Canis lupus familiaris: one gene and its partner. The protein of the gene in region 1 purifies or fractionates together with the protein of each later gene. This does not show direct contact. Links are inferred from orthologs where the notes say so. Each region holds a gene or a part of one and is shown in the gene's direction. Other genes may lie near its edges.

Region 1 (6,610 bases):
AGCCACGGTCTGAGGCATTTGACTATGTTGCCTCTCTTGGAAGAGCCACGTGGGCAGATCTCTGGCTGTTTGGGGCAGAGATGAGAACAGGAATTTGGGGTCTGCTCTGCTTTCCTCTCTCTGGTCAGGATGGGGTGAGGAGGAGGAGACAGGAAGGCAGTGCATATCTCGGGCTCCCAGGGCTTTATTACATTTGCAAAACTGGTCTGCAGATGCCACACAAGATAGAGAGCTCGCTCCATCCAGAATCACCCACCCCGCTGCTGACTGCTCTGGCAGCCACATGCCCACCAGATAACATCTTTAATATCCAGGGGGAAATGAATTCCCCCGCTTGGTCTGCCCATCTGGCCTTGCCTCTTGCCACAATTTATCTGGCAGATCTTTCTCCCCTGCAGAAAGAGGAGAAATTGTTCTTCTACAACTCAGTTTTTCATCATGAAAGCATTATCTAAGTGGCCAGGCCTGGATATTGGTTATTCTTTCTTTCCTTTCTTCCTCCACATTCAGCTTCTATGGGTGGCGTCTGCATTGGAGCTCAGGGGATGTGGAGATGAATTGAGCACGAACCCCATCCTGGAAGAGTGAACACTCCAGTTGGGTAGCCAGACTAGAAAGCAAATAATCATGGCACCAAATGTAATGGAGGTAACGAAGCCCCAGGAATAAAGAAAAACAAAAGATTAAGTCCACTAAGGTGGTAGTCTGGGAAGATTCTCCAAAGGAAATGGCTTTTTATTCTCTCTAAAAGTTAATATTTTTTCTTATTACTAAAGAAACACATGCTTATCTCTGAAAAAATGAGAAAAATTATGGGAAAAGTCTATAAAAAACACTCTTTTCTCACCAGCAAGACAATTATAGTGTATTTCAGGATATACCAACTGAACTAAATCCTTAAAAATTAATAGGCGGTCTTGGTAAATTTCTATTCCTTAAGCTGTGGGGTGGGAACCTTGTCTTTAAATTGTTCTTGTTCGTTACAGTGTACATTATATTAAACGTACTCTCTTATTTGTAAAATATCTCACAATTAAAAAGTAAATAGAATATCTAGTCAAGGATTTGAGAAGGACTCTTAGATGTTTCAGCTGTGTCTAAACAAAATTTTAACTTGAAAGAAATGCTGATGGTAAAACTGGAATTGTACTCCTGTATTTTCAGTTTTTAAAAATATAAGAAGTTACATAAAATCTCAAAAGTAAAGTGGAATTATAAAAATCAATGGGCCATGGTGATGTTAATATAAAATAAAAATAAAAACTTTTTAAAGAAGATTTTATTTATCCATTCATTAGACACAGAAGAGAGGCAGAGGGAGAATCAGGCTCCCTGCAAGGAGCCCAAAGCAGGATTCGATCCTGGACCTCAGGATCACGCGCTGAGCGGAAGGCAGATGCTCAACCGCTGAGCCACCCAGGCGTCCCTAAAAATAAAAACTTAAAACTGTCAAGTTATTTTACCAGCAAAAACATAGATTTATTTAGGAATAGCAGAGGTTTGCAATCCAGGACAATGAACCTGCAACAAAACCGTAGGCAAGTTCAACAAAGAAGAGGAATGTTATTTTATGGAAAAGAAAGAATTTGGGAGGAATTGTTTTGAACACCAATCTATTGAAGAGAAGCAAGAGTTTAGGGTGATGATGGTTTCTCATTGGCGGGTTTGTAGGGGCAGGGTAGCCCATTTATTGCAGGAGATGCAATGTACATCTTTTTCTGTGGGAGCCTGTAACTTATGATTCTCTTCTTCTTCTTCTTTTTTTTTTTTTATGATTCTCTTCTGTTGAGATTCTTCTTTTAGGGGTCTGTAATTGACAATTCTTCCTGTAATTGACATTAAGTGGTATAGTTGCCCCTTCCAGCCTTCCTTTCTAGCAGCCTGTGTCCACTTTAGTGGTTTCCCTTTATTAATTTTCACAATGGACACAGAACTCCTGAAGAATACAGATTTTTTTAAAAAAATGAAATGGTTTCTGAGTCAATTTAAGCAGAGATCAACTCAAGTTTCAGCCAAATGTTTAAAAGGTGTTATCATTAGAAGAATGAATCTCATTTACATTTTGGAAATGGAAACCAATTTTTTTTTTTTTAGATTTTATTTATTTATTCATGAGACACACACAGAGGCAGAGGCAGAGGCGGAGGGAGAAGCGGGCTCTCTGAGGGGAGCCCCCGGGGGACTCCATCCAAGGACCCTGGGATCACGGCCTGGGCCAAAGACACTCAACCACTGAGCCGGCAACCCAGAAAACCAATTTTTAACCCTGTTCTTGATTAAGGTGCTACAGATCATGCAAGGTTTAAGGTTTTTTTTAGTGCTGGGGTTTGCATCTATTTTATGAATTTTTAAGCGCCAACCGGCAGGAGCTGGCCCTCGAGTCGGGGATCTCGAGCAGGTAACCACCAATTCACCTGCTGCAATCTGAAGTGCCAAACGGGCCACTATCTTGTGCTCAGTAATCGAGTCGAGTAAAAATGCACAAATAAATCAAGTCGAAATCAAATAAAGTCTGAGTTCTGACAGTGTGTCAAGGAAAGGTGGGGAGCAGGTGGGGTTGTCCAGATCGATCACGCGTTGGTCTAGGCACAGGCGACGGTAGACGCAAACGGAGACAGACATTCGGGAACTGCAGAAAAACTGGTGTGACTGGAGGGAAATGGAACCTCATCTGGCCAGACAAGGTGCTGCGGGAGCCTCCGACCTGGTCTCCCCGGCTCCTCCTCCCCACCTCCCTTTCCCGTTCCTCGGTTCCCCTCTCCCGCTCCCTGCCGGCACCGCCCCTCGGCAAGAGCGTGGGCGGAAATGGGGCCTTGCAGGTCATCTCTCCGCGCCTACCTAAGGGCGCGCCGGGCTGCTGGCGCCGCTCGATGACGTCACGGTCATTGACAGCGTGCGGCGGCGGCCGCGGTGGCTGCTACCCGGGCTGGGGGCGGCCGGGTAAGGGTCTGAGTCGACCTGCCCGGCCAGGGCGTCCTCCGGGGGCGCGGGAGGTGGCCCAGGGCTTGCAGCCGGGGCCGGGGGGGCCGTGTGCAGAGCCGTGGGGTTGGGGGAGGGAGTTAGGAGGCCCAGAAACCTGACTCTGAGAGGAGGGCGGCGGGTGTGCTGGAGGGGAGGCTGCGTCCAGGTTGGGAGAGAGGCCCGGCAGTCGGGCACCGGGGTCTGGCGGCAACCTCCGGGCCGGGATTGGGGTGAGGGTAGTCGGGGCCTCGGGAGCTTGGGGCTGGGAGGAGCGCGCTCACGAGTCTCTCTCCCCCTGGCCCCGGTGCCTCGCGCGGCTGCAGGTGCAGCATGTCTAGACTGGGGGTCCTGGGCGGCGCCCAGGCCGGGCTGGGACTGTTGCTGGGCACCGCCGCGGGCCTTGGATTCCTGTGTGCCCTTTACAGCCAGCGGTGGAAACGGAGCCAGCGCCACGGCCACAACCAGAGCCTCCCTAATTCCCTGGACTACGCGCAGACCTCAGAGCCAGGACGCCAGGGTACGAGCCAGTCTCCTGAGACCAAAGTCATGGCTGACGGATAGGCCTAGGGTCCGGGCTGCCTTGAGAAGAGCCTGTGGGACAGGAAACGGAGGGGGGTGGGTACCTGAGGGTTTCACCTTTTTGTAAAGCTTACTGAAAAGGCAAGCAGTCTTCCTCTTCTGTACTTTTTCCTATAATTGCAGGAAAAGGCTTGTGAAAAGGCTGTTTAGCTGTCACTTTTAGTTCAGGCCACGTTTTAAAGGTACTTAGTGTTGGGTGAGGTGTTTAATAAGTAGAGAAAGTCCAAAATAAGGCAAAAGGGAAAACTAACCTCAGGGGAATTAAGCCTTAAGGCTTACGTGTTCAATTATGTGTTGGAATTTGAAAGGAACTTGGAGACTATCCAAGTTTTGTTTTGGTTTTGTTTTTTTTTTTTTAATCCTTTTTAGGAGAAAATCGAGATTCAAAAAGATTATGTAACTTTACCCAGGTTGTCACAGAGCCATTAAGTGGTAGGATTGGGCCTGGTCACCTGGTCCTGTGGACTTCCAGGGCATGGATGTGGGGTGCATATACAGTAGAAGCTTACTGTTGCTGGAAGCCAGCCACAGCTGAAATAGGTAGTGCTTTTGTCACTTTGACCTTAAGTCATTTGAGCAAGGTATCTAGGGCTGGTTCAAACCACTCTCAGGTGTGTGTAATAGAGGAGCATTGCGGTCACCTCATCCCACGTTAATTGGGAATGAGTGTTTTCTCTGATTACCAAATGCCAGATGGGTTGGAAAAGTTAGCTTTAGAAGAGTCTCCAAAGAGCTATCAATTTAGATTGCAACTGTTTGTCCACATTTTATAACCTACTGGTAACCTAGTAAATGTGCTTGTCTTTCCTTTTCCTTGTGGTTTGTAATTTCTTGGCAGTAGATGTTTGGAAAATGTGGGCCAAGTTCCCAGAGATTTCTTTTTTTTAAGTTTCGTTTAAGTGATCTCTATACCTGACATGGAGCCCAAACTCACGACCCCACGATCAAGAGTCGCGTGCTCTACCAACTGAGCCAGCCAGGCCCCCCAGAGATCTTTCTTGCTCTACATTCTTGAATAATGTTGGGTGTGTACTGTAATCCAACCTAGACCCTTAACTAGATTTCCTTGAACGCATTTGTGCTTCCCTGGACTGTGGGTCCTGCCTTCCTGGTTTCTTTATTTTTACATTTTCCAGTAGAGTTGCCTTGGGTAGCTACCAGTTTATTAGCATTTATTGTTGGAATTGACCCGGAGCTCAGATGAGGGCTCAGGAATGGTGTTTTTCCTATGGGGAGTGGATGGGCTTTTCTCAGCATACCTTTTCTCTAAGTGTCTGCTTTCTCCTTGCCTTTCTCGAATGATACTAAATGAAGTCCCTGGGAGGAGCTCAGAGTTTTCCTGGCTCTTCTTTGTGAAGTGAAAGCTCAGAATTTGAGTAAATTCCCTTTAGTTTTGCTGTATAGTTAGTACTGACTGCCTGGTATCTGGGAACTATCCCGGCAGGCCAAGGGTTTGTTTTCCTCTTACAGGGCAGTGCTCTTGGCAAGCATTTTACATTACCTGCTAAAGACCCCAATGTGGAAGGTTCTTGGAACAGAGTGGGCTCTTGTTTAGAAATTGGGATCTTGATTTTTTTCTTTGAGTAGTTACTCGAGACTTACTACCAGGACGTAGCTGTGAACATAAACTATCTGAGCCTCAAGGGTTTTTGTAAATTGAGCTCCAGTGAGAAGCAAGTGTTCTTAAATTCCAGGTCCAAGGTCTTTCCCTCACCCTGCCTCAGGAGCATCACTGTCTGCTCTCCTTCCTGCAGTGAGGCTTCTCCGAGCAGTCCCAGGGGAAGCGGGAGATGCTGCAGTGCTGCTCAGCCTTCCACGAGAAGGGCAGGAGGAGGTGCTGGACCGCCTGGACTTTGTGCTGACCAGCCTGGTGGCCCTGCGGCGGGAGGTAGAGGAGCTGAGGAGCAGCCTGCAGGGGCTTGCTGGGCAGATTGTTGGGGAGGTCCGGTAAGTGATGCAGCCCTCTGTCCTGCCTTGTTCCTGCCCACCAACTTTTCCCAGCCCCTAGAGCTTTTTCAACTGGGCTGTGCCCTGGCCTTTGTTGCTGTGTCTAAGGAAGAAGCCAGTTCTATAACTTCTCACACAATCGGCAGGGAAGCTGTGTGCTTGGTACCTTGCCTTCCATAAGTTCCTTGCCGCTTTTGGGCTCTTATGGTCTGTTGTAGCAGCTGAAATGCTTTGTTCTGATTTACCTGGTCTGCCGCTGCAGGCTGGGTCCAGGGAGAAGCCTTTCTTGTTCTCCTGAGGGTAGAAACCCAGGATTTTCTCTGGCTTCGGCCCTTTAATGAGCAATAGTAGTAAGACGTTCCCTCATGGGGAGGGGAAAGACAGACTGTCTGGGGCCCAATAGCACCATCTCCAAAGGGGCCTGCCTTTCAGATCTCATATGGAAGAGACCCAAAGAGTGGCTCGGCGGCGAAGGTTCCCATTTGCCCGGGAGAGGAGTGACTCAACTGGGTCCAGCTCTGTCTACTTCACGGCCACCTCTGGAGCCACGTTCACAGATGCCGAGAGCGAAGGCGGGTGAGTCATTTCTCTTTTAAGCACTTGTGGCTTCAACTAGGTTATGTTTTGTAAAAGTACTATTTACCTATGGAAAATTCACACTGAGCTGCTATAAATAATTTTGGGAACATGGTAAAGGTATAAATGAATAAAATAGGGAATTGGTTAAATAAGAAAAACCATCCACCTTATGTCACCCAGGCAAATGAAATGTTAACAGTGCTTATTGTTGCATCTGTCCTTTCCTCTGAGTAGGTTTTTAACACAGTTACTGTAATTCTTATTTGACTATTTTTTTTAAAAGATTTTTTATTTACTCATTTGAGAGAGAGCACAAGTACAAGGGAAGCAGAGGGAGAGGGAACAGCAGACTCCTTGTTGAGCAGGGAGCCCGGTGAGGGGCTTGATCCCAGGACCGGGGATTATGACCTGAGCCGAAGTCGCTTAACTGACCGAACCACCCAGGAGCCCCTGTTTTCATTTCTCCTATAACATTAGTTGGGCATTTGCCTGTACTATCACAAGGACTTTATAAGCATTTTTTAATGACTTTATTTCCTTCAGT
Region 2 (6,002 bases), on another chromosome or scaffold:
ATGACTGACCACCATCATTAGCCTGTTTCTTTGAACGGGTAATGGGATTTTTGTTGTTGTTGGTTTTGACTATTCCCAATGCATATTTTGTCCCAGGAAGGTTGATTTGGGAAGCTGTGAGACCTGTGCTCTGCTCCTGGCTCTCTGCTGTACCAGCTTTGTAGATGGGAGCCTTGCTGTTGGCAGGGCTCTCCTCTTCTCACCTGGAAGATGGAAGAGTCATACTAGAGAGAGTGCAATAGGGAGAGCCAGTCGTGTTCAGTGTGCTGCATGGAACCTGCAGGGCAGTGATGGCCAGCACATCTGACCACTTCCATGCCTTCCCTGGTAGTGTCTCCTCCCCAGGCACTCTCCAGAGGCTGTCGTAATGGTCTCGGTGGGGAAGTAGAGGATGTGTAGCTTCCCTCGCTAGTTTCACCTTCAACCCAGCTTCGAAGTTCTGAGTTCATGAAATAAATCGCCCTCTGTATAACATTCTCCCTGGCCTCCCACCTCCCCCATCCCAGCCTGTCCTGGGGATGTTGAGGTCTTCCTGGTGACAGTAATTTGTTGCTAATAACTCCTGAGCTTGCACGATTACGATATGCTAATTTTTACATGGCAGGAATTTGATCGTGCAATATGCACAGGCTTTTTTCTTTTCCTTTGAAGTATTAGTCTCAGCCGAACTTCATTATTTGTCCTTATCCATAATTTCTGGGGCCCAGTTGCTTTAGATTATTAAGATACTAGATAAAGTGATCCATTTTTAAAATAAATGTGACATTTTACAGTGTGGATGAAACGCTACCACGTGTGGTGTTTGCCGAGAACTACTTTACTTTGCATAAAAAAGTCCTTTATTACATAGTTGGTGACACTTGCGCTTTCATTTATTTCTGAACAGCATGATGTAGAAATAAATAAAATTATACCCACAACTGCATCAAAGACAGAAACACCAACGGTGTCTAAAGCTCTGAGTTCTTCTTTGGATGACACTGAAGTTAAGAAGGTGATGGAAGAGTGTAAGAGGCTGCAGGGTGAAGTGCAGAGGCTCCGGGAGGAAAACAAGCAATTCAAGGTAATGGCATTTTCTTTTCTTTTCTTTTCTTTTTTAAGATTTTATTTTTTTAAGTAATCTCTCCATCCAACATGGGGCTTGAACTCACAACCCTGAGATCAAGAGTCACACGCTCTATCAACTGAGCACTCCAATAGTGTTTTATTTCTTGATAATCTATAAAAAACAGGGACTTTTTAACACTCTGATCTTGAGTGGGGGAGTTGACAAATCCCTGAATTTGTAGAGTTGTTTTGTATTTACACATTCTTCCCCTAGGGAGAAATTTCTGTGGCTTTCATCAGGTTCTCAAAAGAGCTCTGATTCCCTCCTGCCACCCCACTCCCACCCCTCAAGTTAACCAGTGTCTGAGGAGAAGCTTTTCAACTATTTAAATTCTTGTTCCCTTGTATTTGATATGTTGTAATAATGTATTTCATCCTCTAAACCTTTCTGTGAGTAGGGATTGTTACCATCCCCAGTGTGCAGGTGAGGAGACTGAGGAGCAGAGGTTAAGTGACTTGCCTGAGGTCGTACTTGCAGTGAGACTTGAACCCAGGCTTTGTGCCCTGAGCTCACAGTGGTTCCATTCTCCGGCCTCAGCCTGCAGACTCTTGTCCTCTTGTAAGAGCTCCTCTTGCCTTCACATTAGTGTAAACTGAAGATAAATTCTGAGACTAAACACAAAACTGCAGTGGTTATCCTGAATTCACAGTGTCAAACCCTACTATATCCCCAGTAGGTGAGAATCTTTTCTTTAGGAGGGTAAATAGGTAAATACCTGTACTCTTTTAACATAGGCATAATTCTGGTTTTTGAAGATTCTAGGTGGGTCTGGGCAGTAGGATCTCCTCAGATTGGTTCACATGGTGATGAGATTGGAGATGGGAAGTTGTCACAGTAGACAGGTGGAGATTATAGAAGGAGAAACCCGGGTCTCCAGCTTGTGGCTGTTGAAGAGGTAGTTGGCATGGGTGTTAAGAGGGTCAGGTTGAACTGGGCAGTAAAGGAAAGTAGGGTGCACTTCATTTGGCCTTGTTGGCCTACGGTGTTATGCCAGTGACTGCTCACACTTGACTAGCTCTGGATCTGTGATGGTCACAGCATCTCCTGGGCCTCGACTCACAAAACCTGTCTGAGGCGCCGTCCAGCCTTAAAAGTATGTCTATTTCAGACATGGTCTTGAAGAGAATGGTTCTGAGCATCTGGTCATAGGAACGTCTGTTGCAGCTTAAATATGAGGCTGGTCTGTTCACTTCTCGATCATGCCACTCACCCATGCCCTAGGCTTTTGCTCTTTAACCACCATAGCACTAGACACATGTAATAAATACATTCCATTCAGTTGACTTCTCCTTCTTTTATTCTGACAGTGTTATAGATACAGGAGACCTGACAGTGTCTGGAGAATGGCATCATCTTCTTTTTTTTGCAGTAATCTTGATTTGCCTCGTTCAGTAACTTCTTTTAGTATGGTGTAAATTATGAAGCTGACACTTTACTTTTTGACTAAAAATCTAAGATATGCCTAAAGCTTCTCCTTGAGTGTATTTCTCTTCAGAAACAGAGTCCTGTGCCGTTTAAAGTGATAAATAGGTAGAAATAGCTTCTGTATAAACCCAATAAAATAAATGCTGTATTTTGCTGTGCCCATTTTTTTTTGAAGTTAATCGAATAACACCAGTCATTTATCACTGTGCAGCGATATTGGCCATGCCCCATGAGCAGAATATCTTTAAAATATTATCAGACCAATCTTGACATTAGAAGATTCTTTATCCTGCCAAATACTGATTTCTTGTTTTGTGTTGTTTCATTCTTTCATTTGGCCAACACATTTTCTGAGCCCCTCCCATGTACTAGCACTGTGGGCACAAATACAAGCTGTCCCTGCCACTGAGGAGCTCCCTGCTGACCAGGGTAGCTGGGGACAAAAGTACTGATGAGCTGAATGATGAGTGGCCCCACAGAGATGGCCACAAGTGCTGTGGAGAGTCAGCACAATGGCCTGCCTGTTGTCTCCAGGACGGACAGGTTTGGGGATGAGTAGTTGGGGTAATTAGCCAGAGATGCACCTGAGCCCAAGTACAGAGGCCTTGCTGCATGCCCTGTTGAGGGGTGTGGAGTTGGCCTTGGGAGTAAAGGAAGAAAAAGTTTCTATTCCATGCATTAAGTAGAAAAATATCTGAGCTGCATATATGAGATTCAGTCACATTTTAATATTCCAAATATCATGTTTTCTGTCCAGCAGTCTACATGTAACTCATCAATACAGAGTTCTGCATTTGAAAGCTGCTGCACAGTGTAGTTTCTTGTGATTTTTATATTTGTGCTTTGAGAAATGCCTATCATTTCAAAACTGGATGACTTGGTTAGGGAAGCCTGCTCCGTAGAGGGAGGGAAGACAGAGAGGGTTGGAGTCCGATGTAGAAGGGTGGCCCGGAGGCATGGCCAGAGAGGTAGATGGCTCCTGGGGGCAGAAGAGACTGGCTGAGCCTTTCAGAGGCTTTTTTCTGTAAGTCCTGGGGAACCAAGGTACTTAGATGTATGGTATAAAAAGGTGCCTAGCAGCATTGTGTAGGTGGGTGGAAGGAAAGAGGGGTTTCTGGCAATATATTCTGAGTGACCTCAACCCAGTGCCTTCTCTGTGGGATTCAGTTTCTCCCTTTGAAAAATGAGGAGGCTGGCCCACACCATGTGATTCAAGTGTGTTTTTTAAAGGCCCATCCTGTTGAACTGACAGTTGACTTTTGCTTCTGGTGCCTTGGGTTGTCTTTGAAATGTGCCTTTGCTCCCGTAGGAGGAAGATGGACTCCGGATGAGGAAGACAGCTCAGAGCAACAGCCCTGTGCCTGTGTTAGCTCCAGCTGGGAAGGAGGAGGGCCTCAGCGCCCGGCTCCTCGCCCTCGTGGTTTTGTTCTTCATCGTCGGTGTGATCATAGGGAAGATCGCCTTGTAGAGGCAGTGGGCACAGGGCGGCACACTGGATTGATGGGCCCGCCATCCCCTGGGCTTTGACTTTATCATAACCATGTGTAAAAAAGAAGTTCATGTATGATGACATCTCACAGGTCTTGCCTTTAAATTACTCCCTCCCTGCGCGTGCGCACGCGTGCACATACACACACACAATTATAACGTAACAATCCTTTAGAGAGTTAAAAATGTATAGTAAATGATTGGGGGAAAAGAATGGTCTTTATTAATGACAAGGGAAACCGTGATTAAATCGTAATGGCATGTCGTGTCATTTTAAACATGTGTAGCCTTGGTACATGTGGCTGGGTTGATTACTTCTCTTAGAACAAGACACTCTTCCTGCCTGTTGGTGCCGGGCCTTGGGGAGCTGGAACCCAGTGCGGTGGGGAGGGCCGTCACCTCCACATAGCAAGCCCCACCCACTCACTCACTCTCTGGGCTGCTGCTCCACGTTCTGTCCCCAGCTGTCGGTTCCTTGGGACTGATGAACAGGGTCAGAAGCCAATGGCATTGTGCTGTGGCAGTGTCAGATCTGCCCATCAGGAGCGAGAGGCAGTGGGAGGCAGCAGGAGGTGGACTGACCCAACACTTTGGAAATGAAAGTCAATGCTTTGTTCTCTTAAAGGGACCAAGCTAAATTACTGTTGGTTCATGTAGTGAGATTGAATTGTTATTCAGAGATGTTTAATGCATATTTAACTTATTTAATGTATCTCATCTCATGTTTCCTTATTGCCACAAGATTATAATTAATGCTGTGGCCTAAAAATCACCTGTGCTACCTAATGCCAGTGGGTGACGCTGGCACTGCTGCTGGAGAGCTGTGGGCTCCTCTCTCTCTCTCTCTCTCTCTCTCTCTCTCTCTCTCTCTCTCTCGAGGTTCTGGGCTCTATGTAAGCTTGGAGGTGTGGTTTATTGGAATGTTGTAGAACAGCTGCCAGAAGTGTTTCACTGTGTAAATAAATAACAACTGTCAAAGAGAGGGAAGTCCTTAGTAGCAACAGTCAACTCTGTTACCCTTTCTAACTGGAGAAGACTAGCTGATCTTGTTTTTTTCCCTCATTACCCCTCAGCCGCCACTCATTCTTCCAGCACATGTGCCCCAAGTCTGGTCCTGACCTTTCCCATGTGGCCCTTGCTTGGAATGAGGCAGCAGAATGGTAGCAGACAGGGAACCAGCTGGGTGGGGGCGGGAGAGGGGTGAGAGGCTCCAGATAATCGTCAAGTAGTGATTGAGAGTTTGACTGTAAATTAATTTTATGCCATAAAAGACCAATCCAATTCTGTTTGACTATGTAGCATCTTAAAAAGAAAAAAAATTAAAATAAAGCCCCAGAATTAAGAGTTCTTTTGTCATTTTGTCACACTTGCTATAGGGGGGAAATTATTATCCTTATGATCCTCAATATTATTTTGTTATTGGAAGGTTGGTTTTAAAATGAGCCCTATCAATTCAATGAGAAATATATATGTTTAATGATTTGAAGTGTGTGTGTGTGTGTGTGTGTGTGTGTACTATTGGCTTCAACTGAGAGTGTAAAAATAAAACTGCTGAAAAATCTTTAAGCAGCTGGTCACCCTTACCTTTCCATTGCTTTGCCCCTCAGTAGAAAGAAATGTCTCCTCTGTGTCAAGGAGCCATGCAGAAGATTAGGGACCGGCATGCTGAGCATGGCTCCGGGAAATGGGTGGGTTTGAAAAGACAGTCATCAAAAGGAAGACAGTTCTTAGAAGTCATCCACTTGAGTCACATTTCTCCTGAGCTTGGCCAGGGCAAAAGGGCCTCGCTTCTGGCCCTGAGGATCTGATCAGGGACCTAGAGCCTGAGAGGCTGGGTGTCTGTGGTCTAAGTAAGTAGCTTCTGTCTTCATGAGAAGTTACTATATCCCGAGTACTCATGGGGAACATGATCAGACCTGGTTCTCAGCCACCTGCCTGGTGGTCGGTCTGCGTGGAGTGTGTGCACATGGAGGGCTGCCCA

Evidence for each region. The genes of interacting proteins can lie anywhere in the genome.
Region 2: the proteins of RMDN3 (region 1) and VAPB purify together in Homo sapiens (affinity purification with mass spectrometry; 4 studies listed by BioGRID and IntAct, counting the BioPlex papers as one, with this or other methods). This does not show direct contact. The link is inferred for Canis lupus familiaris from reciprocal best matches to the Homo sapiens genes RMDN3 and VAPB.

The regions. Positions count from the first base shown.
Region 1 is NC_049251.1:8,178,136-8,184,745, reverse strand, and holds the start of RMDN3 (regulator of microtubule dynamics protein 3), read left to right. Parts: upstream 1-2,799; 5' UTR 2,800-2,940; intron 2,941-3,284; 5' UTR 3,285-3,291; coding exon 3,292-3,478; intron 3,479-5,294; coding exon 5,295-5,487; intron 5,488-5,919; coding exon 5,920-6,063; intron 6,064-6,610.
Region 2 is NC_049245.1:43,975,246-43,981,247, forward strand, and holds part of VAPB (vesicle-associated membrane protein-associated protein B/C), read left to right. Parts: intron 1-886; coding exon 887-1,063; intron 1,064-3,842; coding exon 3,843-4,001; 3' UTR 4,002-6,002. UniProt on the Homo sapiens protein: Endoplasmic reticulum (ER)-anchored protein that mediates the formation of contact sites between the ER and endosomes via interaction with FFAT motif-containing proteins such as STARD3 or WDR44.